Pelodiscus sinensis: one gene and its partners. The protein of the gene in region 3 interacts with the protein of the main gene of each other region in a biochemical or structural test. Links are inferred from orthologs where the notes say so. Each region holds a gene or a part of one and is shown on either strand. Other genes may lie near its edges. The genes, in order: RAD54B, RAD52, RAD51 and FBH1.

The links.
Region 1: the proteins of RAD51 (region 3) and RAD54B form a complex in vitro, tested with the Homo sapiens proteins (2 studies listed by BioGRID). The link is inferred for Pelodiscus sinensis from reciprocal best matches to the Homo sapiens genes RAD51 and RAD54B.
Region 2: the proteins of RAD51 (region 3) and RAD52 form a complex in vitro, tested with the Homo sapiens proteins (6 studies listed by BioGRID). The link is inferred for Pelodiscus sinensis from reciprocal best matches to the Homo sapiens genes RAD51 and RAD52.
Region 4: the proteins of RAD51 (region 3) and FBH1 form a complex in vitro, tested with the Homo sapiens proteins (2 studies listed by BioGRID, with this or other methods). The link is inferred for Pelodiscus sinensis from reciprocal best matches to the Homo sapiens genes RAD51 and FBH1.

Annotation. Positions count from the first base shown.
Region 1 is NC_134712.1:40,512,319-40,520,256, reverse strand, and holds the start of RAD54B (DNA repair and recombination protein RAD54B), read right to left. Parts: upstream 3,238-7,938; 5' UTR 3,144-3,237; intron 3,133-3,143; exon of another isoform or gene 2,993-3,132; intron 2,987-2,992; exon of another isoform or gene 2,467-2,986; intron 1-2,466. Other genes in the region: RING finger protein 151-like, read left to right, coding at 3,778-3,786. UniProt on the Homo sapiens protein: Involved in DNA repair and mitotic recombination. May play an active role in recombination processes in concert with other members of the RAD52 epistasis group.
Region 2 is NC_134711.1:108,172,233-108,180,696, reverse strand, and holds the start of RAD52 (DNA repair protein RAD52 homolog), read left to right. Parts: upstream 1-5,242; 5' UTR 5,243-5,509; intron 5,510-5,590; exon of another isoform or gene 5,591-5,822; intron 5,823-8,464. UniProt on the Homo sapiens protein: Involved in double-stranded break repair. Plays a central role in genetic recombination and DNA repair by promoting the annealing of complementary single-stranded DNA and by stimulation of the RAD51 recombinase.
Region 3 is NC_134714.1:63,240,104-63,247,778, forward strand, and holds the start of RAD51 (DNA repair protein RAD51 homolog 1), read left to right. Parts: upstream 1-4,445; 5' UTR 4,446-4,587; intron 4,588-4,743; exon of another isoform or gene 4,744-4,961; intron 4,962-5,563; exon of another isoform or gene 5,564-5,615; intron 5,616-6,617; 5' UTR 6,618-6,644; coding exon 6,645-6,731; intron 6,732-7,675.
Region 4 is NC_134711.1:3,369,241-3,376,805, reverse strand, and holds the start of FBH1 (F-box DNA helicase 1), read right to left. Parts: upstream 3,076-7,565; 5' UTR 2,934-3,075; coding exon 2,921-2,933; intron 1,579-2,920; coding exon 1,414-1,578; intron 1-1,413. Other genes in the region: ANKRD16 (ankyrin repeat domain-containing protein 16), read left to right, coding at 5,585-5,612, 5,980-6,334. UniProt on the Homo sapiens protein: 3'-5' DNA helicase and substrate-recognition component of the SCF(FBH1) E3 ubiquitin ligase complex that plays a key role in response to stalled/damaged replication forks.

The DNA of each region.
Region 1 (7,938 bases), on a different chromosome or scaffold from region 3:
AGGTGAACTACATTTTTGTCTTAAAATGTACTATTTTTTGTAACAATAAAAATGATACCAGTAAATTTTATTACAAATTACAAGGGTTATACTTCACACTCTATGTTGTCTTAGGAACAATCTCTTTAAATTGTAAGCTCTGAGCAAGGATTGTCTTTTACTATTACTTCTGGGGGAATTCTGTGTATGTGCAAAATTCATATCCCAGGAATTTTTTTTCCCCTCAGGGGAATATACATTCTGCCAGAGAGGTGCTGCAGTTATTCCTTTCAAACACCAGGGGATTTTGTGACACCAGAAGCGAGGGCAACTGTTCCCAAGCAGGAGCAAACCTCTGTGGATAGGAAGAAAAGGGTGTCTTAGACCCACAGCATCCCACCCATAAGGCCAGGTGAGGCAGCATGGGATATGGGGGACCTGAGACAGAAAGTGGGGAATATGGAGCTGCGGGGGTGGGGGTGTCACAGACTGCTAGTAGGGGGCCTGAATGGAAATGAGAGTGCAAGGGCACATTAACATTTCTATTTTTACCTGAGAAGTCGATGCACTTCCCAAGGGCAAGATGTACATTAGGGATGAACAGAATAAGAATTACCTTTTTTTAAACAAACTGTACATGGATATTAGATTGATAGAGACAGACAAAGTCCACTGAAAAAAAGTAATCGGGATCAGTGCAGATTTAAAAGATTCTATGGCAATGAATCAGGAGAATGAGATTTTGCCAACTGTCAGAGAGGTAGCCTTCTTAGTCTGTTTTAGCAAAAACCAAAAGAAGTCCTGTGGCATTTTAAAGACTAACAAACTTATTATGGTCTAGATGATACAGGTCCTGCCATGAGGGCAGGGGACTGGATTCGATGACCTCTCGAGGTCCCTTCCAGTTCTAGTGTTCTATGATTAGCCATGGCTCTCTCAAATTACAATACCTTTAGGTAGTCTCACCTTATCACTGTTAGAAGTGGGCCACATTCATTCTGATTGAATTAGCACTGATGTAATACTCTCATCTCTGTATGTATGTATAAATCCCTCCCATCTAAATCTTTCACTGCATACATCTGATGTAGTGAGCAGCGGCCCACAAAAGCTTATGCCCGAATACATTTGTTAATCTTTAAAGTGCCACAGGAGTCCTTGAGATTTTGTCAAATTTCACTTTATATCCCACAACTTTACCAAGGTTTAATTAAAAGTAACATGTATGGACTGTCTAGGAACACAAAGAAATAGATCACAACTATACAAATGCACTTCTCATCAATGCCTGAGACTGAGATCTTTGATAGCAGCACTATTTCTTCTTGCCTATACTAGAGGTTCAAGACGGGTGCAATACTTTAATTTCCATTTGTATGATGGAATTGAACCTGAGATCTCTGCAAGAGCTGAGAACAGGTGGTTCTCAGCAAAGGCTGCAGAGCAGACTCATTGTGCTCTCTGTAAGTGGTCTCAGCGAGAGATGTAGAAAGTCAAATAATGTAATAGTGTAACCACTATAAATCCTAGCAATTACATAATGTCTCTCAAAGTGGGCTCTCCTTGGCTGCAAACAGCGAACCAGAGCCAATGGGACCCATAAGGCACCAGGCCTGCAGAGCCCATAGTCCACTTTGAGAAACACTGAATTAAATGGTTATTTGTGCTGCTGGCTATGCAAGATAAAGGTATCAGGGATATGAACATGTATCCTAGTACATGATTAACCAATGAGTATGGGGGGAGAGGGAGGCAGGAGCCAATGCACGTGGAGCACAGAGGCAGCAGCATGGAGAGGGGGCAGGCAGGAGCCAGTATATGCAGGGAGCCAGCTTTTAAGCCAGCTCCCCGCATGTGCCAGTATCCACAGACCCACCTGTCCCTCTCCCACACTGCTTCCTCCCAGAGGTAGTAGCAGGGGGGTCAACAGAAGCCTCTGTGCCTCCAACACAGAGGTAGCTGGGTGGATGAGAGGGGAGGGGAACAGGAGCCAGTGTTCGCAGCAAGCTAGCTTAAAAGCTGGCTCCCCATGAGCACCAGCTCCTGCTGAAATACTTAGCAGTTACACATTTATACATCCCTATTATATATAAGCTTTATACTGCAGAGCCTGCAGCAAAGGTACCCCTGGAGAGGGGCTAGGAAGGGCTGCAAGCCCCACTCCCAGGGAGCCAGTGTGAAATTTGTGGCGTGCCACCCAGGCCAGGCCTGCCTTGGACAAGGGCTGCTGTGGCCAGGCTGCCAGATCAGCCCCTGCCTGTGGTGGACCCAGTGGAGCAGAACCCTTCCCAGAGTGAGTGGGGAGCTGTTCCAGCCCCTACCAGTTAACTGGAACTCGTAAGCCTCACCTGTTAAGGGTGTGGGTTAACCATTTACATCTCTAATCTGTGTCACCACATGGAACAGTACACCACACCCAGTAGGTATGTGGTCTACTTATACATGTATCTGGACACACACACATGTATTTGGTTGTGTATCATTTACCTCGTAACAAAGAACAGTAGATCTTATTTTTAGAAGAAGGCAGAGTTTGTCTAATTTTGCAGTACAAGTGGCTGGAAGAAAACTGGAAACGCGCGATTGCCAGTCTTGTCCTAAGTACACACTATTGTTCCTTGCCTTGTGCTAGGCCTTGCGCTAAGCTTGCTCCAGACACCTGCAAGGTTACAAGTTCCCAAACGGAATCTGAAAGTGTCGCTTTCCTGAGGGGCTGGGGGAACGCGCCGCGATGCCCAAAGCTCTATTGCCCGCAGGGCAGACTTGACAGGAGCAGGGCTCCGCTACTCAGCTTGCCACCAGTGCCCTCCCCCCACAGGGGCCACGGCCGGGCCCCTTGCTACTGAGCCTTTGCGGCCGGCCAGCGTGTGAGCACCGAGCGGGGTTGCTCCGTACTGCCCTCGCCCCCGGGCAGCGGGCGGGAACGTCATGTGCGCTTCCCGGCCGGGAGGGAGATAACAGCCTGCGCCGCTTGGCCCTGCCACGCGCACCCGAGCTCCCCTGCCCCACTCACAGAGCGGGACGCTCAACTCAACTGTCCCGCCGCAGGCTCCCGTCAGCCACTTGCCACTAGACGCATGCGCCCTCCTTCCCACACTTCCGCACATCTTCCCGCCCGACATCAACCGTCATTCAACCGCGCATGTGTCAAAGCACCCATCTACCTCCGCCGGCTGTCCTGCGTCCGCGCATGCCCACTTGCCTCTCCCTCTCGACGTTTGCTTGGGGCTGCATTGCGCCTGCGCAAGCTGCCACGCACAGTATGGCCGTCCTACTAGGGTCATTCCTGGTGTGACACACAGTCGTCAAGCAATAGCAGTCGCAAAATGCACTGCCTACTGTTTGCGATAGTTGCGGCGGTGCTTGGCAACCAAATTAGCGAGGGGTGGGGTAGAGCGTGAAGCGCCGCAGGTCTGGGGGGGGGCGGAGCGTGATCTCCCGCTGGGCGGGCAAGTGGGTGACAGGGACGCGCGAGTGGCTAACCCTGCGTGGGACCCCTCTCCAGCGGTTGGGGTTGAGGGGGCCGCGAGCCCACTGGCCCCGGACCGGCTAAGGTGGCTTGGCCGAGGGGCGGGCTTCGCTGGCCCTGACCCTGTGACTAAGGGGGTCGCCAGTGATGCTTGGCAGCGGCCTGGGGGAGGTCAGTCGGCGAGACGTCGGAGGTGGGGAAGACCCAGGGTGTGGCCCCGAGCTGCATATCTGCCTGCAGCCTCTGTTCATCCAGGTCCCTGACTCTCCTCCCCTTGGTGGCCAGGCACCTCGGCTCCAGATCCATCCGTGTCTCACCCAGTGACCCAGATGCGGTTTGTAAGAACATTAACTTCTAAAAACTTTACCTGTTAAGTAATTTAAATTACAAGAACTGTATTTAAAGTATAAGCTTTCCCCCCATGCAGTAGCTTATAAGAATTTGTTCCCCTTTGTGTTGACATTCTGTGTGTAAAATGATCAGATTTTATATGCATGGAACTAACGTTCATTGAAATGTTGCTAATTACACCTTGCTTCCAAACTTGTTTTAAAACGAACAACAGTATAAAAAAAACAAACCCTGAAGTATTGCAGTAATATTGCTAGCCTTCACCTTTTCACAATTGTAAGAAAAGTGTTAAAAGTGAAGGTGGGAGAGGAAGAGTTCAGCTGGTGATATCAAGTCTTGCCAGAGAGGAGCAGTTCGCAGTTTAACATTGTTAGTGAAATCAATGAAATTTCAAGTTTTCATTATAAAGCATAGCTTTTCTCCTATCTGTAAATTGCTGCAGGAAGAATTACTGAATGCACATCTTATAACACAAATTTGTGTTGTATCTTATAGTGTATAAAAGTAGTATGACTCTAGTTGTTGGAAAATGAGTTTAACTTTAAAAAATGCATTCTATACTTATGCACAGTGGAAGATTCTAAATTTCAGTGGTATTTTTTTCATATATATTGAAAGGTAAGTATATGCTCTGTTGAAAATGTAATGACTGCGTACACATCATCTCAGGATGGGATGCAGAGATAAAGTTTCTTGAAACTTAAAAGACTGCTTCTTGGAGCAGCTGGTTTTGGAACCCATAAGAGTAGAGGCAATTCTTGATTTAGTCCTAAGTGGAGCACAGGATCTGGTCCAAAAGGTGAATCTAACTGGACCTCTTGGAAATAGTGACCTGCAATATAATTAAATTTAACATTCCTGTGGTAGAATAAACATTATAGCAGTCCAACAGTGTGGCATTTAATTTCAGAAATCAGAACAACACAAAAATGAGAAGATTAGTTAAACAGAAAATAAAAGGTAAAGTACTAAAAGTGAAATCCCTGCAAGCTGCATGGAAACTCTTCAAAGACACCATAATACTCCACTTAAATATATAATGCAAATTAAAAAAAACATTGTATGAGAATAAAAGAAGTGACACTGGCTTAAAAATCAAGTAAAAGATGCTGTGGGAAATAAAAAAGGCATTGTTTTAAAAAGTGGAAAGTTAAATCCTAGTGAGGAAATTAAGAGCATAAGCTCTGTCAAATGAACTGTAAAAATATAATTAGGAAGCCAAAAAGGAATTTGAAAAACAGCTGGCCAAAAACTCAAAAAGTAGCAAAAAAACTGTAAATACATCAGAAGCAGGAAGCCTGCTAAACAACCAATGGGTGCCACTGGAGGATCAAGATGCTAACGGACCATTCAAGACAATAAGTTAATTGAGGAGAAAATAAATGAATTATTTGCATCAGTCTTCACAGCTGAGGATGTGACGAAGATTCCCAAACCTGAGCCATTCTTTTATGTGACAAATCTGAGGAATTGTCCCAGATTCAGGTGTCATTAGAAGAGGTTCTTGAACAAACTGATAAACTAAACAGTAACAAGTCACCAGAACCATATGGCATTCATCCATGAGTTCTGAAAGAATTCAAATGTGAAATTGCAGAATTACTAAGTGTGGTTTGTAACCTACACTTTAAATAATCTTCTGTACCAAATTAGTGGAGGATACCTAATCTTATGCAAGTTTTTAAACGGTGCTCTAGAGGTGATTCTGGCAATTGCGGGTCAGTAAGTCTAACTTTAGTAGTTGGGAGACTGGTTGAAAATATACAAAAGAACAGAATTGTCAAACACACAGATGAATATAATTTGTTGGGGAACAGTCAGAATGGTTTCTGTAAAAGAGAAATCATGCCTCACTAATCTACTACAGTTCTTTGAGGGGGTCAGCAAGCATGTAGACAAAGGGGATCCAGAAGATTTAGGTTTCCAGAAAGCCCATAACAATGTCCCTCACCAAAGGCTCTTACGCAAAGTAAGCTGTCCTTTAGAAGGTCCTCTTATGAATTGGTAACTGATTAAAAGGTAGGAATAAATAGTCAGGAGAGAGGTAACTAGTAGTGTCCCTGAGAGATCTATATTGGGAACTATCGTATTCAAGATTTTCGTAAACTGGCTGGGAATAGGGGTAAACAGTGAGGGAACAAAATTTACAAGTAATACAAAACTTCTCAGGATAGTTAAATCCAAAGCATACTGTGAAGAGCTTCGAAAGGATCTCAAAAATTAGGTGACTGGGCAACAAAATGGCAAATGAATTTTAATGTTGATATATGCAGAGTAATGCATATAGGAAAACATCCCAACTATACATATAAAATGTGGGGACTAAATTAGCATTTACCATTCAATAAATATCTTAGTCATTGTGGATAGTTCTCTGAAAACAGCTATTCGATGTTGTGATGGGGCCCCGAGAGCCCGCACTGGACCCCAGGGGGTAAATGCCCTGTTGGCGCTGCCAGGGAGTCCTTACCGGCCGTGCGCCGGATGCACTGGTGCTGCGGCCCTGCTGAGGAGCGTGGGCCTGGTGGCAGAGAAGGGGGAGGAGTCAACCCCGTGTCACGTTGGCGTGGGGTCAGGGCTACGCTGGTGACGTCAGGGTGACATCCGGCCTAACGTCCTGGGCAGCGGGAGATTTAAAAGCCTCCTGGGCAGAGAGAGGGGAGGAATGCAAGGAGCGCTGAGGCAGGCGGGGCTGGCGAGAGACGCCGACCCAGGCGAGGGTGGGGGGCGCCAGGCGAAGCTCCGCAGGGAGCAATGGGAGCCGGAAGGGCTCGCCTTGGCAGGGGGGTGATCTGCACTGGAGGAGGAGGAGAGAGGAAGTAGCCCAGGGCAGGGCGGTGAACTTAGCCCATGGGCTGACGAGTTTAGGAGAGTGGCCCCGTCAGCCGGAGTTGGACCGCAGCATGGTCCAAGTCATTAGGGCCCTGGGCTGGGGCCCACAAGTGAGGGTGGGCCCAGGCCCCCCTCTCTCCTCTGCCTCGTGTGGAGGAGAGACTCAGCGAGACAACAGTCAAAGATTATTGACGCCACCAGCTGCCGAGGAGCTAGTCGGCTGGGCATGAGAGGGCGGGACGCCCATAACTGTGAGGGGCTGGGGACCCAGGACATCAGGTCCACCCCAGGTGCACGGTCACAGATGTGCAGTAGCAGTCAAAAAAAGCAAACAATGTTAGGAATAATTAAAAAGGGGATAGACAGAGAATATCTTTTTGCTTCTATATCAGTGGTTCTCAAAGTGCTGTCTGCAGACCCCAAGTGGTCTGCAGCCTCCTCCCATGTGGTCCCTGGCTTGAACGCAGCCCCCCCACCTCTCCTTCCCAGTTGGGGACAGAACATCGACCCCTTTAGCATCTCATTTGGGAACTGAGATCAGTGTCACCCAACAGTTTTTCCCTGCCAGTTTTTCCCTGCCTGTTTAGGATCTCTGCCTAAACAACTCCCCTAACTCACCCCAGGGCCAGTTGCTTCTCTTCACCAAGTGAGAGATCCCTGTATAATCAGCCCTAGGGTCAATGTTGCACAGTCCCTGGCTGTCTCATAGCCTGTGAAGTGAGAGTTCCGCTATGGGGGGATGTTGGGAGCCAACATCCCTTGCAAGGTAAATGGACAGTCATGGGAGTGGGGAGCCCAGGAGTTACTCACTGGCCAGGAGGGAGCTGAGCTCCCTCCCCCTTCCCGCTTCGCTGGGAGAAGGGCAGGCAGTGACGTGCTGTCCATAGGCTTTTCCTGCTGCAATGGGGCATGAACCCCACTTCCCGCCCCAGATCCTGCACCCTCATCCCTATTCCACTCACTAGTAGCCCTGCCCTGCACACTGAACCCTTCATTTTTGTCCGCACCCCAGCTTAATGGGCTCCACAAACTCCACTAAATTCGGCACCCCAGAAAAATAAATCTGGCCTTTCGGAAACCCTGAACCTCAGACTTTTCTGTCCTTTCTCCTCGCCTCATAGGGCTGGAGCACCAGAGAAGTGAGGTGTCATGACTGGTGTGGAGAAAGAAGATCAGGAAAAGTTATTTACTCCTCATACACAAGAATTAGGAATCACCAAATGAAATTAATACATAACAGGTTTAAAACAAATACAAGGAAGTATTTCTTCACACAACACACAGTCAGCCTGTGGAACTCCTTGTCA
Region 2 (8,464 bases), on a different chromosome or scaffold from region 3:
TGACCTACTTCAACTATTTTTAATAAGGGGTGTGAGAACATATTTTGAGAACCAAAGGGGTGCAGGCTGCAGTAAGGTTATGAACCACTGCCATAGATGGATGCATTCCTGGTGATGAACTTTGCAAATACTGGGAACCATGGCTACCTGTGGGGAGCTCACCACAGTTCCAGGCATCCACAGAGAACAGGAATGAAAACCAAATGGTATATTAACTTTGATTAAAATAATTCTCTCACTTCTAATCACCAAAATGTACTGGGAAGCTTCAGAACAGAATTTTATCAGGACCACTGTTAGAAGTTTGCAGCAACATGTTCTTCATTCTCATAGCTCACACAGAGTAACAAAAATATTTCCTCAGCAACTATGATGCAGTTGCATGCTCTCTCTCTGAGTGGAAACAGATGGCTCCCTGTAAGCACAGGCTCCCACCTGCCCTCCTTGCAGTGCTGCACAGGGTGGCAGGTGGAAGCCAGTAGGCGTGGGATGTCGGCTTTTGAGCTGGTTCCCCGCACGTACCAGCTCCCGCAGAGACACCTCCGTATCCATGCGCTACTGCCTCTCATGCAAAGAGGTGGCTCCGCACATAAATGTGTAACCACTGAAAATTTCAGCAGTTACATGTTTACCAAAATAAACACATTTTAATATGCCTACTTCCAGGTAACATAACTAGGTAAGTGCGCTGGAGAGCCTTTCTCCAGCGCACTTACCAAGGGTTAGACTCACAGAGTGATTCCCTTCATGTGTGGGAAAGTACAGGATGCGATGCATCACTGGACATCATAAGTGGAGAAGAGAGGATTTGATTTACTGGTTACAGTGGTAGGAAAAAGGAAGCCCATTCACACAGGTAGATAATCCAATACTGGGCAATGTTCCCTCTAATCTTTTCCATCCACTTGTCTTAGAATATGTCTGCATTGCATTCCTCCTTCGAGAGAGGAATGCAAATACAGACAAATGAAATTGCCAATGAAGCACGGATTTGAATTTCCCGTGCTCCATTTGCATAATTGCTGCTGGCCGCTTTTTCGAAATATCTTATTTTGAGATAAAAAACGCTGTTTAGACGCATTTCAAGAAATAACCCTTAAATCTATAAGGAGTAAAGGTTATTTCAAAAGACGGGTTTTTTCTCAAAATAACCACATCTAAACAGCATTTTTTCTCTCAAAATAGGATATTTAGAAAAAGCTGCCAGCCGCGATTATGCAAATGAAGCGTGGGAAATTCAAATCCGTGCTTCATTTGCCATTTCTTTTGTCTGTATTTGCATTCCTCTCTCGAACGAGGAATGCAATGTAGACATACCCTTAGGGAATACATTTTTATCTGTGCACCGAGGCATGTACGAATGTGTACCACTAATAGAAACAAAAACCTAACTGCAGGTGCTCTGCTAATCAACTGGGCAGCTTTTAAATGTTTCTGGAGCGGTTGCACAGCTTACAGGGAGAGCTCATATTGGGTTACTTACAGAAGTAGTCTCCAACCTTTTTATGCCCAAGATCACTCTTTGAATTTAAGAGCAACCCTGCCTGCTCCATCTCCCCTCAACCCTATCCTTCCATGCTCTCTCCAGCTCCCCTTTCTCCTTCACTTTCACTGAACTTGAGCAGGAGGTTGAAGGGGAAGAAGGGATGTGGTGTGCTGGCTCTGACAGCAGGCTCAGGCTTGGGGCTTGGAGTGCAGGAGGAAGTATGGGGGGCTGGCTCTGAGAGGGAGTCTAGGGCTGTGACTAGGGATGCAGGAGGGGGTATGACAGGTATGGGCAATATTTGGTGTGGGGGGCACTTCACAAATTTCCTAAGTGGCCACAGGCCATCCCGGAAGAGGTGGGACCATGGGCAGAAAGATCAGGTTGGTTTGGCTAGATCTACCTTCTGCAAAACCATGCTGCATTTCATTCCAATTACGTTTACCTCTATGTCCTTAACAACTTTCCCTTTCAAAATGTGTTCCAAGATAGTCGTATCCAAACTTCTGAGGGCAATGCATCCCCCAATCCCAGTCTGTGGCCCCAGCCCCTTCCCCTTCTCTAGAGCCAGGGCTGGGAGTGGGGACATAGCTCAGCTGGGAAGGAGGGGAAGGCTGGAGCTGCAGCTTGGGATGGTGCTGGGACTTGCAGTGGGGCAGGAGCAGAGTCAGTGGCAAGGCTGTGACAGGGAACAGCAGTAGGGGCCAGCTCCACTCCTGGCCTACCTCCACCCCCAGCCTTGTCCCCAGACAAGGAACAGAACCATGACCTGAAGCTCAATTTGGGGGTGGGACCAGAGCAGAGCAGGAGGCGGTGAGAGGCCAGGTAGCATGCCATCCCTATCTCCCTTTGAGGGTTGGCGTGACCCCGCCATATCACCACCAAACATTCCTCTGCACCGCAGTGTAGGGCCCTTTTAAGACCTTGAATATAACTGAGATCAAACTAAAGAGCCTGTAGTTTCCCAGATCAATTTTTATTTTACGCCCTCTTAAAAATAGGTACCATATTTGCAACTTCATTACAGGGAGATGACTGAGAAACCCAGGAAGCTGAGTAGCAAATACTGCTGCCTCCACTACTCCAGATCCTGCATGGAGCATATCAAAAATAACTTTTGAAGAGATGTTTTTCCCTAGGGCTGCTCCAGTCTGAGGTGGGAAGCAGATACACAACTGCAACTGGCCTAGAGCATGTCGAGGCGGAGGGTAAGGGGCCAGGACCGACTTGGGGCTGCAGCCAGCCCTCCAGACGAGAGGGAAGGAGTGACAGAGCATTTTAGGGCTCCATCCATTGGGAAAGAGAAGGGAGCAGAAGGAGTGGAGTTCGGACTTGCTTCCCCAAAGGGGGCTCCATGATTAAGATTTACAAGTTAGTAGCCATGTGGACACCAACCATGTTTTTAACCAGTTATGCCACTACCCAATCATTGGTGAAGTAAGAGCCTAATAAAAGTTTACAGCATGACCAGAGACACAGCTACTACTTATCTGCGTAAAAACGTAAAGCATTCTGTAACAGCAGTTCTCCAACATAAACAGGGCCTGTTAGGGTGCATCTAGACAGCTCCCTTTTGCTGGAATAAGCTATGCAATTTGTAGTACACAAATTGCATAACTTATTCCGAGTGTAAATTGAAAGAACTTATTTTGAAATTTGGTGCTGTCTACACAGCGCCAAATTTCAAAATGGCGTACTATTCTGACAAATCCCTTAACTCTCATGGAGCAAGGGTTACAGGGACACCAGAATAGCGCACCCACTACTTCAGGAAATAGCAGGCGCTTTTAAAGACGTGGCAATGCTATTTCGAGATACTTCTGGTATCCAGAAAGAGCAATGCAGTCTAGTTGCACCCTCAGTAACATATATATTTGACTTGGTTACAGCTAAACTTGTTTCAATAAACTTTGGTCAGCCAACATACAAAAGATCCAATCATATTAAGTGGCATTCAAGAACCATGCTCTCTCTCATATCCTTGGGCAGTGCTGTCACTAAAGGTGTACTGTTTCACACAGCTCCACAATTACAAATAATCCCAGATTAGCCAAAAGTGGCTGTGTTTAGTGCAAGTTATATTTATAATGACCACTATTATATTGCTAGCCATATTAGTATAATTAACTTGGTTATTAAAGACTCCAAAAAGTAACTAGCACCATCTCATCTAACCCTACCCAGAAATAAACTGAATGACAAATTGATAATACCATTATGGGGAGTCAGCTTCAAAGAATGAATTTGACAGCATATTTCTACACTTATGACTCAACCACAAATATCAAAGGGAAGGTTTGCAAAATAATCTAGGACCAAATATGACATTTTACAACACTGATAATTCTGCTTATTTTACCATCCTCCTTATTTTGTTTCCCTACTGCTTTGTCTTTGGTGACTCCTTCTGTTCTCTTTCTCTATCTCTGCACAAGCTACCTTAAAGCCACTCCCAAATTTCGCCTAAAACCTTCAAGCTTTACTCCTACACCATTCCCCACTGCCTATAATTAAATGATCCATGATACAATTAGCTGATGGCATGTACTGTTTTATAATTGGCCTTTAGATTAAATACCATAGTTAGAGTGATATGGAGAACAGGAAAATTCACTTTTCCCACAGCTATTGTTTCAGGATGTCTGAGGATTCTAGGAACAAGCTCACTTTTCATTTGGGAGGTTAATTTAGAACCACCACAAATTAAAAACTCAATTTAGTAATAAACCTTTAGATTCAGCATGGTTTGGATAAAATACCTAAGGCAAAGGGGTATCTGACATCCATACCATAGATAACATGATTGCCCCATTTGAGAATAAAGGTGTTTTTTTTTTACATTAGACATTACATGCAGTTAATAACAGCCAATATTGAGGTTGGTGAGGAGACGAGGACACAGAGAAGAGCTACTTGGTTGGACACAAAAATACGACTCAATATATTTTTATTACATCCACAAGCCCTGAGCAATGTCACCAGAGGAGACACAGACCCCCTTGTGTCTGTGTGTCGGGAGAAAACAGGCACGTTGCCACGATGGGATCCCCGGCTTTTCCTTTCCTCGGGCTGTCCCGCAGGGGGCGGGGGCTATGTGAGGACAGAAGGAAGCACCCCGGCCAGACACGGTGCGGACAGGAGATGCGGGGCGCCGGCACAGCTGCCCCAGGCCCCGCGCCTCCCCCAGCATCAGAGAGGAGACTGGGCCAAGCAGAGACCGCTCCCTCCCAGCCACCTCCGCCCCCGCCCCGAGCGCCCCTGCTCTCCCAGCCTGCAGCCAAGCCACCCACCCGCGGAGTAGGGGGTGGGGGGAGAAAGGGAGGGGTCGCGGCGGGTTCCGGGCGAGACCCACCTGAGCTGGCGACGGCGGCGGATCCCTCAGTACCAGGCCGCCCCCCGGCTCCAGCCGCGCAGCCCGGCCGCATCCTGCCCCCCTCAGCCGCAGCCAGCGGCCCCCGGCCCCGCCCAGGCTCCCCCCACCCCCTCGGGTCTTGGGGCCCCGTCTCTCACCTGCCGCCCGCCCGGTGGCTCCGGCTGCTGCCTGTCAACGACGGGGAGGGGAGCGAGGGGGGGGGCAGCACCAGGCAGGCTCGACTCCTCCCCACCCGCTTCTCCCTCACGCTCGGCTCGCTCCCGCGCCCCCAGCTCCAGCCGCTACGAAGTCCCGCCTCCGGCGCGAGCCCAGCAAGCCCCGCCTGCCCCGCCCCCTACGCTGCGCGCCGCAGCAAAGCTCCGCCCCCCGCGCGGGCCTCTCCGCCTGAATCATCGGCGCCGCGCGGGCGAGAGCCCTTCGGAAGCAGTTGCGTCTCCTGACCGCTAGCCCGCTCCTTTCGGACCTTGCGTGCGCGCGCCCCGAAGTGGCCGCGGAAGACGGCGGCACGAGCGCGACGTCGTCCCCGGCGCGTCTGGTGTGGGCGGGAATTTTGTCTTTTCCCGCTTGCCGTAACCTGCCCGCGTTGTCGATAGGGTAGAGCTGCCGCTGGAGAAAGGAACCCAGCTCCCCCCCCCTCCCCCACTCACGTACAGGTAATGAGTGAACCAGTGGCGCGGGGGGAGGGGTCGTCCCCCCCCCTCCGCCCACACCCCTGTGCTGACGGGCTCCTGTGGGCAGCGCCGCACTCCCAACGCGCCGCGGCGGGCGGGTTCTAGACGCGGCTGCTCCCCTCCCCCCACCCCACCCCACGGGGCCGGAGAGTGACGCGGCGCCACCTCCCTCCGGAGCCGGCCGAGCGCGCGGGGGTCGCGGGGTTGAAACGGCGCTACCGGGGCATCGCGGCGGGTAACGGCAACGGCTTCCCGCGCGCGGCGCTGACCAAGGAGCGGGACAGTCCGGCTGCAGGTGACGCAGCGGGAGGGGAAGGAAGGGTGCGACCGGGGGGGGTCCCCTGCCCCCCCCCCAGTGTAAAGCCGTCGCCCCCCGGTCCCGAACAACGAGCTGGCGACATGAGACGCCTTCGCTGTAGGTCGGTCAGATCGACGGCGAGAGGAGGAGGAGCAGGGGCGTGTCCCACAGCCCGTCCCCTTAAGAGCCCGGCAAGCGGTAGCCGCAATAGACGTGGGATCCTCCTGCTTCTTTCTTAGAAGGGGGGTGAAGTAGCTGGTGCTGTGGGCATTTATAGGGCCGCTGAGGGGGATAAAGTAATTCACACCTCTCGGCGATACTGCTACAGGCTGATGAGGATGTGTCTGCATTGGGTCGTGTCATGTGTGACCATTAAAATAGAAACGGCGGGGGTGGGGGGTTGGAAGGGGCCAGTACACTTCACTTCTGTGTCCCAGCCCAACACAAGTGTTGTCTAATACAGTTTTTGTCATCCTTTTTTTTTTATAAAGTACCCCTTTGAAAAAAAAAAAACTCCCTTTAAATATATATATATATATGTGCCCCCAGTACGTACAGTTTTCAGACACACACAGGCTACGTCTAGATTGGCATGGTTTTCTGGAAACGGAAAAGTTTTCCGTTAAAAGCATTTTCGGAAAAGAGCGTCTAGATTGGCACAGACGCTTTTCCGCAAAAGCACTTTTTGCGGAAAAGCGTCTGTGGCCAATCTAGACGCGCTTTTCCGCAAAAAAGCCCCAATCGCCATTTTAGCGATCGGGGCTTTTTTGCGCAAAACAAATCTCAGCTGTCTACACTGGCCATTTTGCGCAAAAGGGACTTTTGCCCGAACAGGAGCAGCATAGTATTTCCGCAAAAAGCACTGATTTCTTACAGTCGGAAGTCAGTGCTTTTGCGGAAATTCAAGCGGCCAGTGTAGACAGCTGATACGTTTTTCCGGAAAAGCGGCTGATTTTCTGGAAAAACTGGCCAGTCTAGACACAGCCACAATGTTTTTCTACCATTGCAACACATTTGTTCAAACAACTTAATGGTAGCTGGGTAGGCGATGAAATTTTTGAGTGTAAAAAGTACAAAAATAATAAAGCCTTGTAAAACTTAAAACAAAAATTCAGTTTTGATGAATCCTTTTCCCCCTTCCTCCCTCCTAGACTTCTCTCAAGTATCCCTAAGGGTACTCATACCGCTGGTTGAGAATCACTGGTCTAATATACAGAATACTTTACAACACAGGCTCAGGTCTAGTTTACGCTACAGACATCTACAGTATTGGTAGAACTGCATCACTCAGAGGTGTGGAAAAAGCTACTCACATGAGTAATAATAATTTAACTGACATAACACAACCACCCTCCTGCCAATATAATCCTCTCCAGGCAAATTAAGTTTATGGAGCCCTAAGCCTCTATGCCTCCCCCATTATGGGGCTTTCTGTGGCCCACAATCGATTTTTTTTGTGGGGACAGAGTTCTGCGACTGGGGGCAGAGGAGAGGGAACAGGGAGCTGGGAGGGCAGAGGACAGGGTTCTGCAGTAGGGGACAGGATGCCAGTGGGGACAGAGTTCGGGGAGAGGGGACGGGAATGGGGACAGAGTTCAGGGAGTGGGGACAGAGTTCTGTAGCTGGGGACAGGGTGCCAGTGGTAGCAGAGTCACCTGTATCTGCCTCCTCCCAGGATTCTCTCTCCCTCCCTCCTCCCCCCGCCCCCCTGCAGGAAGCCAGCACATGCCTGCCCCGGGGCTAACCCCCGCCTCCCGCAGCGGGGGCAAACCCCCGTGGGAGCCTGCCTCGGGGGCAACCCCCCCATTCCGCGGCCCGGGCGAAACCCCCATTCCGCGGCCCGGGCCAAACCCCCATTCCGCGGCCCAGCCCCTCCCCTCCCGCAGCGTGGCCAACCCCTGTGGGCACCTGCCCCAGGGCCAAACCCCCCTCCCACGGCGCAGCGCAGCCAACCCCCTCCTGCAGCATGGCCAACCCCCGCGGGCGCCTGCTCCGGGGTCAAACCCCCCTTCTCCGAAGCGGCCTGGCCCAGCCAACTCCCTCCCCTCCCGCAGCGTGGCCAAACCCCGGGGCCAACTCCTGCTCCCGCGCCGCAGGGAAACCCCTGTGCCCAACTCACCCCTCCTGCGGCGCAGGGAAGCCTTCGCACTCCTCCTCTAGGGCCAACGCCCCCTTCCCCAGCACACAACAGAACTGTGGGAGGGGGAAGTGACACGGGCTTCAGAGAGGACTTCCGTCCACCCCGCGGGAAGCCGGCACTACACTAGAGATAGGTAGTGGGGCTTCTCGGGGATGGGAGGAAAATGGGGGGCGGGGTTGCCCGAACGCCTCGCGATCAACTGGTCGAGGCCTCACGATCGACCAGTCGATCGCGATCAACGGGTTGGTAACCACAGCTCTACGGATAGGGGCTGCTGCCACTCTGCGCTGTTGCCTATGCATCAGGCATCAGCATGGGGCAGCAAGCAGCCCGTCAATGCAGGGAGCTCATTTTTTAAACTGGCTTCCCTCGCAGACTGGCTCCCCCCTGCCATCCCTGCTGGCTCTGATAGCGAAGCAGCAGTGCGGGATAGCAAGGGGCTCCCCAGGAATGCATGACTGCCAGCTCCCCGTTCTCCGCCCGGGGACTATCAAAAGAT
Region 3 (7,675 bases):
AAGTGCCATTTTGGTGCTTTAAAGGGGCAGCGTATTAGGAGCCAGGGATCAGCTGATCCCAGGCTCTTAATGTGCTGCCCCTTGGAAAGCTGCGGCACTTCCAAGGGGCAGCCTGCATGGAGCTAGGGGTCAGCTGGGGACTCCAGCTGATCATAGAATTATAGGAGTGGAAGGGACCTCGAGAGGTCATCGAGTCCAGCTCCGTCTACACCATCCCTGACAGATGTCTATCTAACCTGTTCTTAAATATCTCCAGAGAAGGAGATTCCACCACCTCCCTTGGCAATTTATTCCAATATTTGACCATCCTGACAGTTAGGAATGATCCTGGGCTCCATGCAGCACTGCCCCGTTGAAATGCCGTGGCGAGGCCATTTCAAAGGGGAGGCGCATGCAATTAGTTGCTCAATTAATCGTGATTAAATGTTTTAATTGCTTGATAGCCCTATAATTAGAAGATCAAGTAGTACTTTCATAGTACCACATATGTGACACTTTACAAATGAGTGAATGCCTCTGCCTTGAGATATTTGAGCTATGTTGGAATGGCATAATGCAAATAAAAGGTAAGAAGTAAAGGGAAGAAGATTGTTCTCTACTTAAGATTCACCCTATTTTCCCCCCTCCCCTGCCCAATTTTATACCACTATTGACTTATGGGGGGGTGGCTCATGAAATACTGACTTTTAAAACCCGAATGTGTGTGTATACATACTGTATCAATCTTAGGCTGTGCTCTCCGGTATTTTACTATTGAATATGTAACAGGCTGTACCCCTTTAAAATCTTCTCAATCCTCTCTATGGATGGCTATTACTGTAGCTCATGTCCACACGCCTGGTAGTTTGCCAGTACTAAAAGACAGATTCAATAAACATCTTAATGGAAAGCATGAAGACTTTGTAGATACTTCTAACAATGCTATCCTGATTAGGCAATACTTTGTCTGGTAGGACAATTTCCCATAAGTGTCTACAGTGACACCATGCCATTACATTTTGTTCTAATAGCTTTCTTGTCCTTGTTGATTAGGAGCAGATGAATGCCATAAAGATCTTGGTCATTCTAAGATATGCACCACTGATATGTAGATATTCCTATTTAACTGCAACCATGCCTTGATATTCTTATTACAGGAAAATTGTTATATAAATCATGAATAAAGTGGCTGTGGCCCCTTACCAGATGTGTCTAACTGAAGGTTCCTTTTAGTTGACTTGTGTGTTAGATCTTTTCAAGTATGCTAAAAGGACAGCAGGGGTGAGATGGGGGGGAAAGCAATCAAATTGGGACAAATTAGAGTGGTATTACTATGATCCTGCATGCCAGGACACAATGTCACTCATTCAAATTTGGCCTAGCCATTCCTCCATGCCAGCAGGCAAAGGGCTGGGCCAGGCTTTATTTTACCCAGGCTCATTGGTTAACCATTCACACAGTTACACTTTCACATTCATATTGGATAGTAGTAGTTACTAGTTATTTGAGAGGTTTCATTTCCTCTGGGAAAATCTTCCACTGTGTACATCCAGTTCAATAGGGTTTAAAGGTTGCCTTTTGTATAGAGAGGAATCGGGAAATCAAGCTGCAGCTATTAATGATGAAGTGCTCTCTTTGTCCTGCTTTGGAGCCAGACCAAGACACTATTTTGATCTCAGTGCGGCATTTGCATATAAGAGGGAAAGCTTCAGTGATTTCATCTAAAGATCTTAGATGAGCTCCCCTCTTAAAAAATCCACCTCCCAGCGACTTCACCCTCCAAGCAGGACAGCAAACTCAGAGACTTGGTCCTTGAGGCTCAGTATCCAAAGTGAAGGGCTCCCTTCAGTACCAGTGAGTCAGGAAAGTACTGCAGCTTTTCTAAGCCTTCTGAGAAGGCTCCAGTACCATCTACCAGAAATGGTCAGCATCAACATAGAAGACTGGTACCATTGAGCTTACCCCTTTTTTTTGGTACCTTATCAGAGAAAAACTGCTGAGAAGTAGGGTAAATGCCTCTTGAGTTGGTGGCTATTCTCCCACAAGACGTAGCAATCCAACAACGACAGTAAACTTTTGTTTTACCACACAAGCTAACAAGTAGTCAGAAAAGCAGCTTCCTCAGTCCTTGTATCACCACTAAACTTAATGAGTGGCTATTTAAACTAGGGCTGTCAATGTGTAGTTGATTACATGACTAACTGATAAGACTAGGCTTATTAATTCTATTGACTACATGTATTTCCCCTCTCTTCTCCTCCCCCCATGCATACACTAGCTCCCTCTGTCAGAAGCAGCAAGGGAGGGGGAGATGAGAGCCAGTGCCTGTGGGAATCCAGCTTTTAAGCTGATTCCACGTGAGCACTAGATCCTATGGAGCCTTCTCCCCTACAGTGTTGCTTCTGCTAGAGAGGCAGCAGTGCAAAATGGCAAGGGGCTGAATCTGCAAAGGTCTCAAGCTCCCCATGGACCCAGGCTGCACTGGCATCCCACAGAGCAGCCTCTGTCCGCAGCAAGCTTGGTCCTGCCTCAACCAGAGGCTGCTCTGCGGCAGCAATACCTGTCTGCGGGAGGCTCAAACTCCCTGAGGACAGAGGCTGCGGCCCCTGCCACCAGGGACTATCAAATAATTGTGTAACTGCTAAATTTAGATATCATCCCTAATTTAAATCCAAACAGATAGGCTTGCCCCCTCCTCAGGTCCATGGCTGCTCCAGCCTGCTCTGCTGACTATCTTCCACAGCTGGGTAGCTATGCTTCACTACAGCAGTGCAGTGGAATGCAGCAGCTGGGGGATGGGGGATGGAGCAGAGGAGGCTCCCACAGCCACCTGAGGGCAGGGGTGGGAAGCAGACCCCTGCTGCTGCCCTGTGCCTTGCCTCCTACACAATCCCCTGGGCCTAGGGTGGCCACTCCAACCTGTCTTATGGATGAGATAGCTCTGGCTACTGGTCCTAATACATGAATTATATTGGCATACAGGGTAACCTGGGCAAGGTAGAAGGGTAGCACCAAGCTCTTGGAAGGGGTGGGGTGTCTCAGGTAGAATGGCACTGCCTGCGGCACTCCTCCCTTCCTTTCTCCTCCCCCCCCATCACTGCTTGTAGTGTGCTGCTTCTGCCTCATTAGGTAGCCCTAAGAGCCACCCAGAGGGCCATGGCAGTGCTCCAGTGGAAATTTTAAATGGCTTGGGGGGGGCTGAACCCCTTTAAATCACCTGGGAGCAACTGCTCCCTTTACATACACTGACACATATGCATCATATTAGTACCATAATCATACTCAGCAAACGATAACTTTTCTATTGACATCTTACTTGATACTTCATATAAGATTTGTTGAAATTATATAACAGTAGTAGCAACAATGATCTACCTGGTCATGTTTCAATCAATATATCACAAAAGACACTTTCTAGTGGCAGTTCATGGAAACTACAGCAGTTTTGACAGCTACCCAATAAATCAATTATTCTTGAATTCACATGATCCCAATTAGTAAATCTGTTCTAATCAAACATGTAGACTTAAAAATTATAAATGCATTAAAAACAGGCTGTTATATTAGAAATGCTGAGATGTGATTGCTGAATTCTACTAACAACTATTAATATCTTCAATGATTATTTGCTATCAAATATAAATAGCATGACATTTCTCTTGAGAATGCCAAAGAAAGGCAAATGCAAAGTGCCAAGTGCAATAAAAATACCATTAAAATAAATAATGTAAAGGCGTGAAATCAAGTCTGGGATGGATTACAAGGGCAAGGCCGTCCTCTTCGGGCAAGCCAAAAAACAATTCACAAATTTGTTAGTTGCTATGAGGCTTTATGCAGACACATGAACTCATAAGTTATTCTTTCAACTGCTACAGCCATGAATGACGACTGTATCATTTGGGGGGAGGGGGGTTGTGTGTGTGTGTGTGTGTGCGCGCGCGCGCGAGAGCGAGCGAGCAATATGTCACTGAAGCGAGTCTTCAGCAGCTCAATACATCCTTAAACCAGGGAAGAGCTGCTCTGGCTAGGCATGGAGGTGCAGCACCACTGCTTAAAACACAGAGCCCTGGATGCTGCGATGCACAGTCTCATCAGGGGCTGTAGGAGCTCTGCTGCAAGCAGGAACTAGGAGTGTGGGGGGCTTCAGCACCTATAGCTGCAGGGCTACACTTTGATTCAATAGCTCTTAGAACCAGCACCCCCGAGTGCAGAGGACTCACCCCAGGTGGGGTCACTGCATCCTCCTGCCCCAGGCTGGAATACATCGCCCTCTGTCCCTAGCTTGGCACAGCTCCTTCCTCTGCCCCTCTTGTGCTTGGCCCCGCCAGACTTCCACCTCTTCGGCCTGCCCTCGCCAGGCCCGGGGAACAGGAGTCAGATGGAATCCCCAGAGACTGGGCAGCAGCTTCAACAGATGTTACTGAGCACGCGCAGCTCTCACGCGCATGCTCAGGAACACCAACTTCCGGGCAGCCCGAAGACAAGGCAGCGCCAGGAAGCGGCGGGGCGACGCGCACGCGTCACGTGACGGACTGGCGGGCTTTTCCGAATCTGCCAGCGGCCGGGGAACGCCAACGGACCGGGGCGAGGAGCCGGCGCCGCGGCGGGGTGAGTGCGGGGCGGCCTCGCCGCCAGGACAGGGGCAGCGCCCCGAGCCCGAGGGGCCTGGGCAGGGCTCGCCCGTCCAGCGCGGTCCGGGCGGTACCGGGGAAGCTGCGCGGCCTCAGGGCCCGGCCCACAGGCCGGTATCACCCCGGGCCGCGCTGGGCGAGCCAGGGCCGCGCTGCCTCCAGTCTCCGCCGCGCTCAGCCTCGCCCGGGCAACCCACTAGCTTCAAAGCTGCGTACGGTCATCCAGGGCTGCGTCTGGGCCCTGCCTGTCCGTTGCTTTTGATGACCCCTCGTTGCTGAACCAAAAATACGAACATTGCACCCGGTCCTGTGCCAGCTCCTGAAAGCGTCACGGGAGACAAGTCAACAAAGGTCTGTGCTCAACACAGAGCCCAACTCAACATGCAGCTAAGTCCTAGGAACTACAAATGGTACTAGGAGAGGAGAGGGCAGATGGGGAATCTTGTCATAGAAATCAGTGATACAGCTGCTTCTGGACTGTCTTGTGCAGTTGCAAACCTTCTGAGAAAAGGGTAATACAGACTTGGAAGGGGTTCAGAAGGTGATCAAAGGTTTGGGGAAAGAATCTCACAAGGGGAGAGATTGTAATTAGACTGGCAGTCATTGCTAATGGATGTCATTGAGGGCAAGAATTTAGCAGGATTAAAAAAAGGGCTTGGAGATCCATATGGGTACATCTGAATGTCCCAAGTTGTCAAACTTTATTATAAACAATTTGGAAGCGATAGTAAAGCTTATGCTTCAGAGACTTAAGACCATCTCCAAATATTAAAGTCCAGGATAAGGCCTGATGGGAACAGATTGCCACATTTTTCTGCAGTGAGATTCTTTCACCTTCTGTGAAGCACCTGTATTAGTCACTCTTGGAGATAGAATACTGCAGTATGTGGTCTTTATCTCTCATCCCATATGTCAGTTATTATGTTCCTTCACATAGATCTCTTTGGTTTCAGAGCCTCCTGGACTTTTAAAAGCAAGGGGTGAAAGTAACTTAGAACTGCACTGGTGAGAAATTTATCACAACCTGTCCTGTGTCCCCCCCCCACCCCCCCGTGGGGGGGGCCTTGAAGCGGTGGGGAGGGTTTGAGATACAACAGTACTTGTAAGAAATTTAAGTGTGGAGTGGAGTGTAGGGATGTGAATGGGAACCTGGTAAGCATCACCATTACTAGGTGATGCTTACCAGGTAATAGTTAACTGGTTCCTCTGGGAGCAGCCCCCCATCCTCAGCCTGCCACAGGCATGGGGGCTGGGAGCCAGCAGAGCCAGAGCCAGCCCCCACCCTAGCATGGGAGCCAGGAGACAGCAGAGCCAGTCCTTTCTCCAGCGCAGGGTCTGGGAGCCAGTAGAGCCAGCCTAGCCTCAGTGTAGGAGCTTGCAGAGACAGAGGGGATGGAGACGTGAGGGCTGGAGTAGTGAGGTATCCTGCTAGTCAGCTAACTGATTAACCATTAGGTTAACCTAACATTTAACTGGTTACCTGAGTAACCTAGATTTTACATCCTTAGTTGGGGGGGTTCAGGGCTTGGGTATACAGGGAGTGCAGGAGTTATGGTGTGGGGATGCAGGAGTCAGCATTGGGTTGTATGAGGGGCTCAGGGCAGGGAACTCTGAATGGGGGATGCAGGAGCCAGGTTTGGTAGGTATGAGGAGGGATCAGGGCAGGGGGTATGAGAGAGGTCTCAGTGCTGAGGGTTATGGTGTGGGAAGTCTGGGCAGGGTGTTAGGATTGGGGCGGGGGCTGCTCAGACTAATGATGTAAAATCCCAATTAATCAGTTAACTGGATTAGATTAACCTAATGTTTAACCAGTTTACCAACTAAAAAGAATCCTGGCCGGTGGACTGCTCCAGTCTGGCTGGAACAGCGTGCTGTCAGCAGCAGGCCTCGGGCTTGGGCTCCTGGGGCCAGAGCAGCCAGTGCTAGGGCTGGTACAAGAACTAGTGGTCTCTTGTAGAAGAGAGGCATGTTTGAGCAGTGGCACCCCTTTTTTGTATTTTCTCTTAGGGGAAGTTGTATCTAATACTTGGTGCAATGGCCATGCAAATGCAATATGAAGCAAATGCAGAGACATCAACTGAGGAAGAAAGCTTTGGTCCACAGCCCATATCAAGGCTAGAGGTATGTAATAAGTAGGGATGTGACAGTCTAAATGCTTAAATGGTTAACTAAGAAGCCCAGGTTCATCGATTAACCTGGCTGACTACATGCAACCCACCTTCTTCCCCCCCATGCTGTGGCCTCTGTATCACAGGCAGCAGCACAGGGTGAGGGCAAGTCTTTGTGGAGAGCTGGCTTTTAAGCAGACTCCCTGTGAGCACTGGGCTCTTAGGGAGCCACCTGCCCCACCATCTTGCTGGCTGTGATGGTGGGGGGATAAGGATGGAGTGAGGGGAGGCAGCTCGGTGGGAGCCAGCTTAAAAGCCTGCTCCCTGTGTGCATAGGCTCCCACAGAGCTGCCTTCCCTCTCAGGTGTAAACGTGCATGTAAAATTTCAGCTGTTATGCGGTTATTAAAAAACCCATTTTTTAACATCCCTAGTAATGAGTGACTAGCTCTGGACCTCTTTGCCAAACAAACCAACAGTCTTTATATTTAACTAGAAGTTGCATTTAAAAGTTGTCACTGACTCTGCCTGTTTGATGTTTGTCAAAGAAGAAAAATCTTATCCAGAAATGTGTATTAAAAATATGAAAGATTAACTTCAGGAATGCATTAATACAAAACACTGTGTTCAGTTACCACTTTGATAATATACTGATACTCCAGGTTTTGTAATAAATGCATTGAAACTTGGGATGTGAATGACTAGTTGACTATCCAATAAGCAAATGCTTGTCAACTAGTCGCTTCCCCCGCTTGCTGCCTCTTCCAAGTGGCAGTGCTGCGTGGAGCCCGGGGTCAGCTGGCGACTCTCCCGCTGACCCTGGGCTCCACAGGGCACTGCTGCTTTGAAACACCATGGGGAACCAAATAAAATTGTACCTGAATCAACATAAAATTAACATGCCAAATATTCTGTTGGAGCAGGATGGACTAGTTTTCCTGAACCTGTATTGCTCCTT
Region 4 (7,565 bases), on a different chromosome or scaffold from region 3:
ACTTTGGAAAAGGAAACGTGGGTGTTTGTGAAAATTGTACCTCATGTGTGGAAGATGGGCATAATAATTAGTTCCCTTCTTCACTGAGAGGCTGTGAGCATGTATTCGTTAATGCCATTAAGTGCACTGAAATCCCTGAATGGAAGCTGGTACAGAGTATTAGACAACAAACACCGAGAGATCTAATTAAATAAGAAGGCGTATTAAATAATGAATATGCAGGAGTGTCTCCATAAATGCGGGAACAAAATACAGGACTATGTAGCATTTTAAAGACTAACAAGATGGTTTATTAGGTGATGAGCTTTCGTGGGCCAGACCCACTTCCTCAGATCAAATAGTGGAAGAAAATTGTCACCGCCATATATACCAAAGGATACAAGTAAAAAAAAGTGAACACATATGAAAAGGACAAATCAAATTTCAGAACAGAAGGGGGATGGGGGGGAAGGTAAATGTCTGTGAGCTAATGATATTAGAGGTGATAATTGGGGAAGCTATCTTTGTAATGGGTAAGATAATTACAAAGATAGCTTCCCCAATTATCACCTCTAATATCATTAGCTCACAGACATTTACCTTCTCCCCCCCCCATCCCCCTTCTGTTCTGAAATTTGATTTGTCCTTTTCATATGTGTTCACTTTTTTTTAAATTGTATCCTTTGGTATATATGGTTGTGACAATTTTCTTCCACTATTTGATCTGAGGAAGTGGGTCTGGCCCACGAAAGCTCATCACCTAATAAACCATCTTGTTAGTCTTTAAAGTGCTACACCAGACTAACACGGCTACATTTCTATCACTATTCCATAAATGCGGATACTGCAGTATCTATTGCTTAGAGCTCCCATTGGCAGCAAGCAGGCTGGCCTACCGAGGCTGGTGTGCGCACTTCAGCTTTTCAAAGCTAGAGAAAGGCAGGGGGGATTTGAAGTTGGGGTAAAACAGGAGTTAACCCAGGCTTGGTGTAGGACTCACCCCTTCTTGGGAGGGGAAAAGACTCCTGACGCTGAGGCCAGGCCTACGCTGGCAGATAAAGTTGATGTAATATACGCAGTTCCAGCTATGACAACAGCATAGCTGGAGTCGACTTACCTTACACTGATTTTCTGGGGCAGCCCCACAGCAGAAGGTCAATGGGAGAAACGCTTCTATCAACTTCCCTTACTAGGAGTACTATGGTCAAAGGAGGCCCTCAGCTTTCGATTTAGTGGGTCTTTACTAGACTACAATATGGGTGATTACAATATGGATCAATCAACTTCTTTCCTTGTGGACAATTAGCCCTTTCCCGCTGCTCTTCCCTCTGTACCCGCTCATAGAAATTGGGGTTAAATTCTACTTGTTGCACAGAGTTGATATTAACATTTTCTCTCTCTCTCAGCTCTTAAACCTGTTTAGAAACACTCTACCTTCTTGTGATCTCTTGGTCCTGTATGTTGGGTAGAGGCCTCTGTTTAGATCTCTGCTCACTCGTCTTTGACTGAAAGGCTGTGTCAGGGAACAGGAGCCTTCTCTGCTCTGCCTGAAGGCTTCACAGTCGCTGGCGGTGAGGCGCTTTTGTTTAAATGGTTTCACTGTCACCAACGTGAAAAGCAAATTGCACGGTTGTTAATTCAATTACATTGATGTTTGTTTTCAAGTGACATGCTGTGCCTTTGGTACACACCTACAGCCAATTAGTTTCCTAGCTCTATGGGATGATCCCAACATTGAACCAATGTACCTTCTTTCAATTGCCTATGCAGAAATATATGCAGACCCCTGACGATATTCTGTAGAGTAAAATAAAACATCAAGACACTCTGTACTGTCCCAGACTAAGTTTACACAGTAACATCACTCTTGGTGTCTCATTCATCACCGTACAGAACTTTGGGGTATCCTCCAGTAAGCAATTGCTACGTCACTGTAGCACAGACAGCTACTGTAGTGACAGGAGTTTTGCCAGTGATGTAGTAAATTTGCCCCCAGGACAGGAAGTGGCTAGATCAATAGAAACAGACGTGTCCACACCTGGGTTTAGGTCAGTTTAACTCCATTTCTCAGAGCTGTGAGTTTTCTACACCTCTGAGCAACGTTTTGGGATCTGGTTACAATCGAAAAAATAATCTAATGTAGATGGGTTTTCAAGCCAATTGCACAAAAAAGCTAAAGCGTTGGACATGTCCAGACTAGGGATGTTAAAGACTAGTCAACTAGTCGACATCCTCCCCCTGCTGCAAAGGAGGGGGGACTTTATGAAACCCCAAGGCAGCCGCTGCACAACTGATACGTGGATCAGCTGTGTGGCGGCTGCCCCTTTAAAACACTGCCTCCGTGCATTTCAAAGGGGCAGCTGCTGTGGATTGAGAGTCCCCTGCTGACCACAGGCTCCATGACTTTGAAATGCACATTTCAAAGCAGGCATGCCCCAGAGTCAGCGGGATTTCCGCTGGCCCCAGGCTGTACAAGGAGTTCCGCATTCCTCCTTTGAAATGTAGAAGAGCCACTGCTGGGGCTCTTGTACATTTCAAAGGAGGAATGCGGAAGTGCCTGTCAACTAGTCAATTAACCGCATTTTAACATCCTTACTCCAGACTTGTTAAACTTCAGTCTACACTCAAAACTGCAAACTCGTAACTGGGCCCCTACTCAGATATATTTGCAGTGTAGCTCTTACCTCTACAGTTGTCAGTTAACTAGAAAATCTTGCGAGCAATATTTAAATGTTCTACTGTAAATGCATATGTGCAACAATACCATCTACTTTGATAATAGGGACTGGCAAGGATAGATAACTTAATGTCCAGCTATAGAATTATGAGTTAATGATCATGTGCAATAATCCTTCCAGATGCAGTAAAAGCCTCCAAGCCACACTGCTTACTTGGCTTCAGTTTTTAATCAGAGAATGATATCCCATACCAGAAACCATACCCAGGATATCCATGAAGCGAGTAAGTGCTTTTGGCTTCAATTAGCATCCAAAGGTCAAGTCATTTTCTTTCATGTCTTCCTCCCCTCAGAACTATTACATACACCACTAAGAGCTTTAGCAAAGACCCCTGGGGTATGTAATGCCTTATACAACCACCACTTTGCTGTCCCAAAACATACCAGAAGCAAATGTCTACAGAGGAAATATTTGCTCTTCAAGATGAGATCCTTTGAAAAAAATCCACTTAAAAATTATTTCTCTCTTATTAGGAGAGTAGACACAGAATTCAAATTGGGAAAAGGAACTAGTCCAACTTTAATCATTATTATCAATAAATCATAACCTATTTGCTTCAATGGTTCAAGATCTTAAATATCCCAGAGAACAGGATCAAGCGGCTACTTCTGCTTTGGCCATGACCTTGGGAACTCCACCCAGGGCATTAACTGCCTTTACCTGCCCATGCCTATTCCTGGCCCCCAATGCAAACCCACCCCAGATCCTACCCCTGGCCCCAAAGCAGAACCTGATCCCTGTCCCCAATGCGTAATACCCCTCTACCCCAATCCCCGCCCACAGTGCCCCCCAGGCCCAACCCTTCCCCTCAATACAGACCCCTCCCACCATCGACCCAGCCCCCTAGCCCCCACCCCAGTGAACACCCCCACCCCATGGAATGCTCCTGCCCCCAATGCGCCCCAGGCCCTAGCCCCGCCCCAATGCGCCCCAAGCCCCCCCCAATACGAGCCCCCTCTGGCCTAGCCCCGCCCCCAATGTGCCCCGATACCCTAGCCCCGCCCCCAATGCAATCCCAGGCCCTAGCCCCGCCCCACTACGGAGCCCCCTTAAACTGAAGCCCCGCCCCCAATGCGCCCCGAGCCCCCCATACGAGCCCCCTCCGGCCCAAGCCCCGCCCCCAAAGCACCCCGAGACCCTAGCCCCGCCCCCAATGCAATCCCAGACCCTAGCTCCGCCCACTACGGAGCCCCCTTAAACTGAAGCCCCGCCCCCAATGCGCCCCGAGCCCCCCATACGAGCCCCCTCCGGCCCAAGCCCCGCCCCCAATGCGCCCTGAGACCCTAGCCCCGCCCCCAATGCAATCCCAGACCCTAGCCCCGCCCACTACGGAGCCCCCTTAAACTGAAGCCCCGCCCCCAATGCGCCCCGAGGCCCTAGCCCCGCCCCCAATGCGGATCCCCACAGGCCCTGGCCCCGCCCCCCAAGGCGCCTCACTCTGGTCCCGCCGCCGTTCGGGGCCTGCGGGGGCAGCGCCGCGTCCCGACTCCGACCTCCTGCCCACGTACCCCGCTCGGACTTCCTGGGAGCCCGCCCCTGCCGCTGACTGACTCGGCCGCCCGCCAATCAGAGAGCGCGCAGGCTCGGCGCCGCCCAACCAGCCCCGCCGTGGCTCCGGGAGGGGCGGGGCCACGTCGGCCCCGAGGGACGAGCGAAAACGTTCCCGGAGTTTGTTTACTTCCTCCGCCCGCTGTCCACTCTCCCCCTGCGCCGGGCGTCCCCCGCGGGCTGTGACGTCACGCCGCGGTGTGTGGGCGGGGTCAAGGCGGGCGGGGGGCAGCGTTACCATGGCGATGCCCTCGGTGGGCCCGCCCCAGGCGGGGGCCCCGCTCTCAGCTGCAGGAGGCGATGAGCCGAGGGACTTGCCCCAGCCGGGCGGGGACTTGCGTTAGGGGCTGCAGCGGGCCCCGGTGCCAAAGAGAAAATGGGACCCCCCCCTTGCCCCCCCCGCCCAGTGCTGTTGCCAGTCGCTGCGACTCGGCAGCCCCCCCCCCCGCCTCTCCCCTACAAGGGGCTGGCCCCTCCCTTCACGCCGCTTTCTCCCATACCCCCCCCCTTCTTTTCCCAAAAGGAGGCTTTGTCCTGTTTGCGCTTGGCAACTTCATTAGCTGGCAAGAGCAGACGGGATAAATGCCTCCTTGGGGGGGGGGGGGGGTCGGTACCACCAGAACATGCCTTAAAAAAGCCCCTGCCAAGATGGGACCTGTGGATATGGGCCCCTGCCAAGATGGGACCTGTGGATATGGGCCCCCTGCCAAAATGGGACCTATGGATATGGGCCCCCTGCCAAGATGGGACCTATGGATATGGTCCCCCTGCCAAGATGGGACCTATGGATATGGGCCCCCTGCCAAGATGGGACATATGGATATGGTCCTCCTGCCAAAATGAGACATGTAGATATGGCCCCCTGCCAAAATGGGACATATGGATATGATCCCCCTGCCAAAATGGGACATATGGATATGGGCCCCCTGCCAAGATGGGACATGTGCATATGGCCCCCTGCCAGTTTCATCTCCACCCACTTGCCTAATCTGATCCATTTGCTAAGGCAGATTTAAATCATCCATCTGAGATAGGGAAGCAGCTCTGTTCCAATAGCCCTGCCTGGAAGCAGCGAGCACAGTGCTCCTAAAATAAAGTGTCAGGGCAAACGCTATTTGTCCAAAAGAACACAGCCAGTGTTAGGGGAAGGAATTCAGTGCTGCACGCCCCTGCAGCAGCCGCTCCAGCAGCCTTCAGTGGACGCTGGTGTATCTGATGTGAGCTTTTAATCATGTTAATGTGACACATGAGTAGCTGGGGTCTTTTTCACTTTGTGTAGCTGACCCCACAACCTTTTTTTTACCTTTGGTAACAGGATAATGTTATGGCTGACTGTTGAAAATCCGGGTATTAAATAATAATTGCTGTCTTTATGCATAAGATCCAATACTGATGTTTTTTATTTACTGTGTTTTCAGTTATGGGAGGGGGAAGTATTTTTATTCCTAAAAGCTTTTTTATGACACTGCACATCCACTGGCTCGCAAGCATACACGTCTGAGTTTTCTTGTGAACATTTTAACCCTGTGATGCCAGATATCAGACACTTGACAGCTTTGATTCATTTGGTGGGAGAAACCCGTGTTTTGGATTTTATATTAAGGCTGTTTTTATTATCATAGATTTTCCAAGTAGCGTTTAAAATCTCATCAGTCATTTTATTCTGAAATCTCCCCGTCTCAAACCTTCTTGTTGCTGTTTTTGAATGTCTTAGGAGCCGCACATTTCTCCATGGCAGAAGCAGAAAATCAGAAACAACTTCTCAGGCTGATTCAAGAAGGCAGGCTAGACCTTTTCCAAGAGGAGTTGCAGAAAGACGAAGAAACGAGCAAGGAAGTGAGGCGGAAACACTATGGGAAATCTGCCGACACTGTACTTCACTATGCAGCCAGGCACGGTCACCTGAACATTCTGGTCCATTTAGTAGAAGCCTTGGAAATGGACATTGAGATGGTTAATAATGACTACAAAAGGCCCCTCCATGAAGCAGCTTCCATGGGTCACAGGGACTGCGTGTTGTATCTATTGGATAAAGGTGCAAGGATAGACTGCTTGAAAAAGGCAGACTGGTAGGTCACAGGCATGTTTCTGAGGACAGGACAAGGAGTAATGGGCTTAAAGTGCAGCAAGGGAGGTTTAGATTGGACATTAGGAAAAAATTCCTAACTGTCAGGGTGGTCAAATATTGGAATAAATTGCCAAGGGAAGTGGTGGAATCTCCCTCTCTGGAGATATTTAAGAACAGATTAGATAGACATCTGTCAGGGATGGTGTAGACGGAGCTTGGTCCTGCCTTGAGGGCGGGGGGCTGGACTCGATGACCTCTCGAGGTCCCTTCCAGTCCTATGATTCTATGATTCACTGTAGGATCTCGCTAGTTTTTGAAATGTGTTTGGGAGGAAGAATTGTCGAGTTAGCACATAGGTCAAGGTCTAATCCAGATCTCCCACTAACTCACTGAATGACCCCTGTAAAATTGTGCTGGTTTTCTTGCCTTTAAAATCTAATGAGCACTGAAACTAAAAGGCAGAGGGAATGAGAAATTCATGGGCAGCTAATAATGAGCCTTAATTAATTGATATGTGGAAAACAGTTACAATGGTTAGCAGAATGGGGACCTGATAATACAAATAATGATATGCTAATACAAATAATAATATTCTCAGATGAAAATTGCTGCATCAGTGTAAAATTATATGGCAAGGGCCTGAAGCTGTATTATTCACCAAAGTAGTGGAGGGAAAAGATTTCCATCACATAAGGCACCCTGGAGTTCTCAGCTAATATGTAATGTTGACATTAGAGCATGAATAGGAGGTACTGACCTAATTGTTATAATTATAAATCATTAGTCAGTTAAGGATTGTTGACATTGACACAATACGTGCGATACTTGTCTCATACAATAAATGCAGCTACATTGATATCTTATAGTCCCATAGCATCTTTCATTTGTAAGAACTCCAAAAGCAACAGTGCATACTTGTAGAGCCCTGTGCAGATACAAAATTGGTATCCACCTCCACACGAGGGATGCAAAATTCTGCTTAATCAGATAACCAGTTAAACACTGGCTACATCTATACTGGCATGATTTTCCAGAAATGCTTTTAACGGAAAAGTTTTCCGTTAAAAGCATTTTTGGAACAGAGCGTCTAGATTGGCGTGGACGCTTTTCCACAAAAGCACTTTTTGTGGAAAAGCATCCGTGCCAATCTAGATGCGCTTTTCCGCAAAAAAGCCCTGATTGCCATTTTCGCGATCAGGGCTTTTTTGCGGAAAACAAAGCTGAGCTGTCTA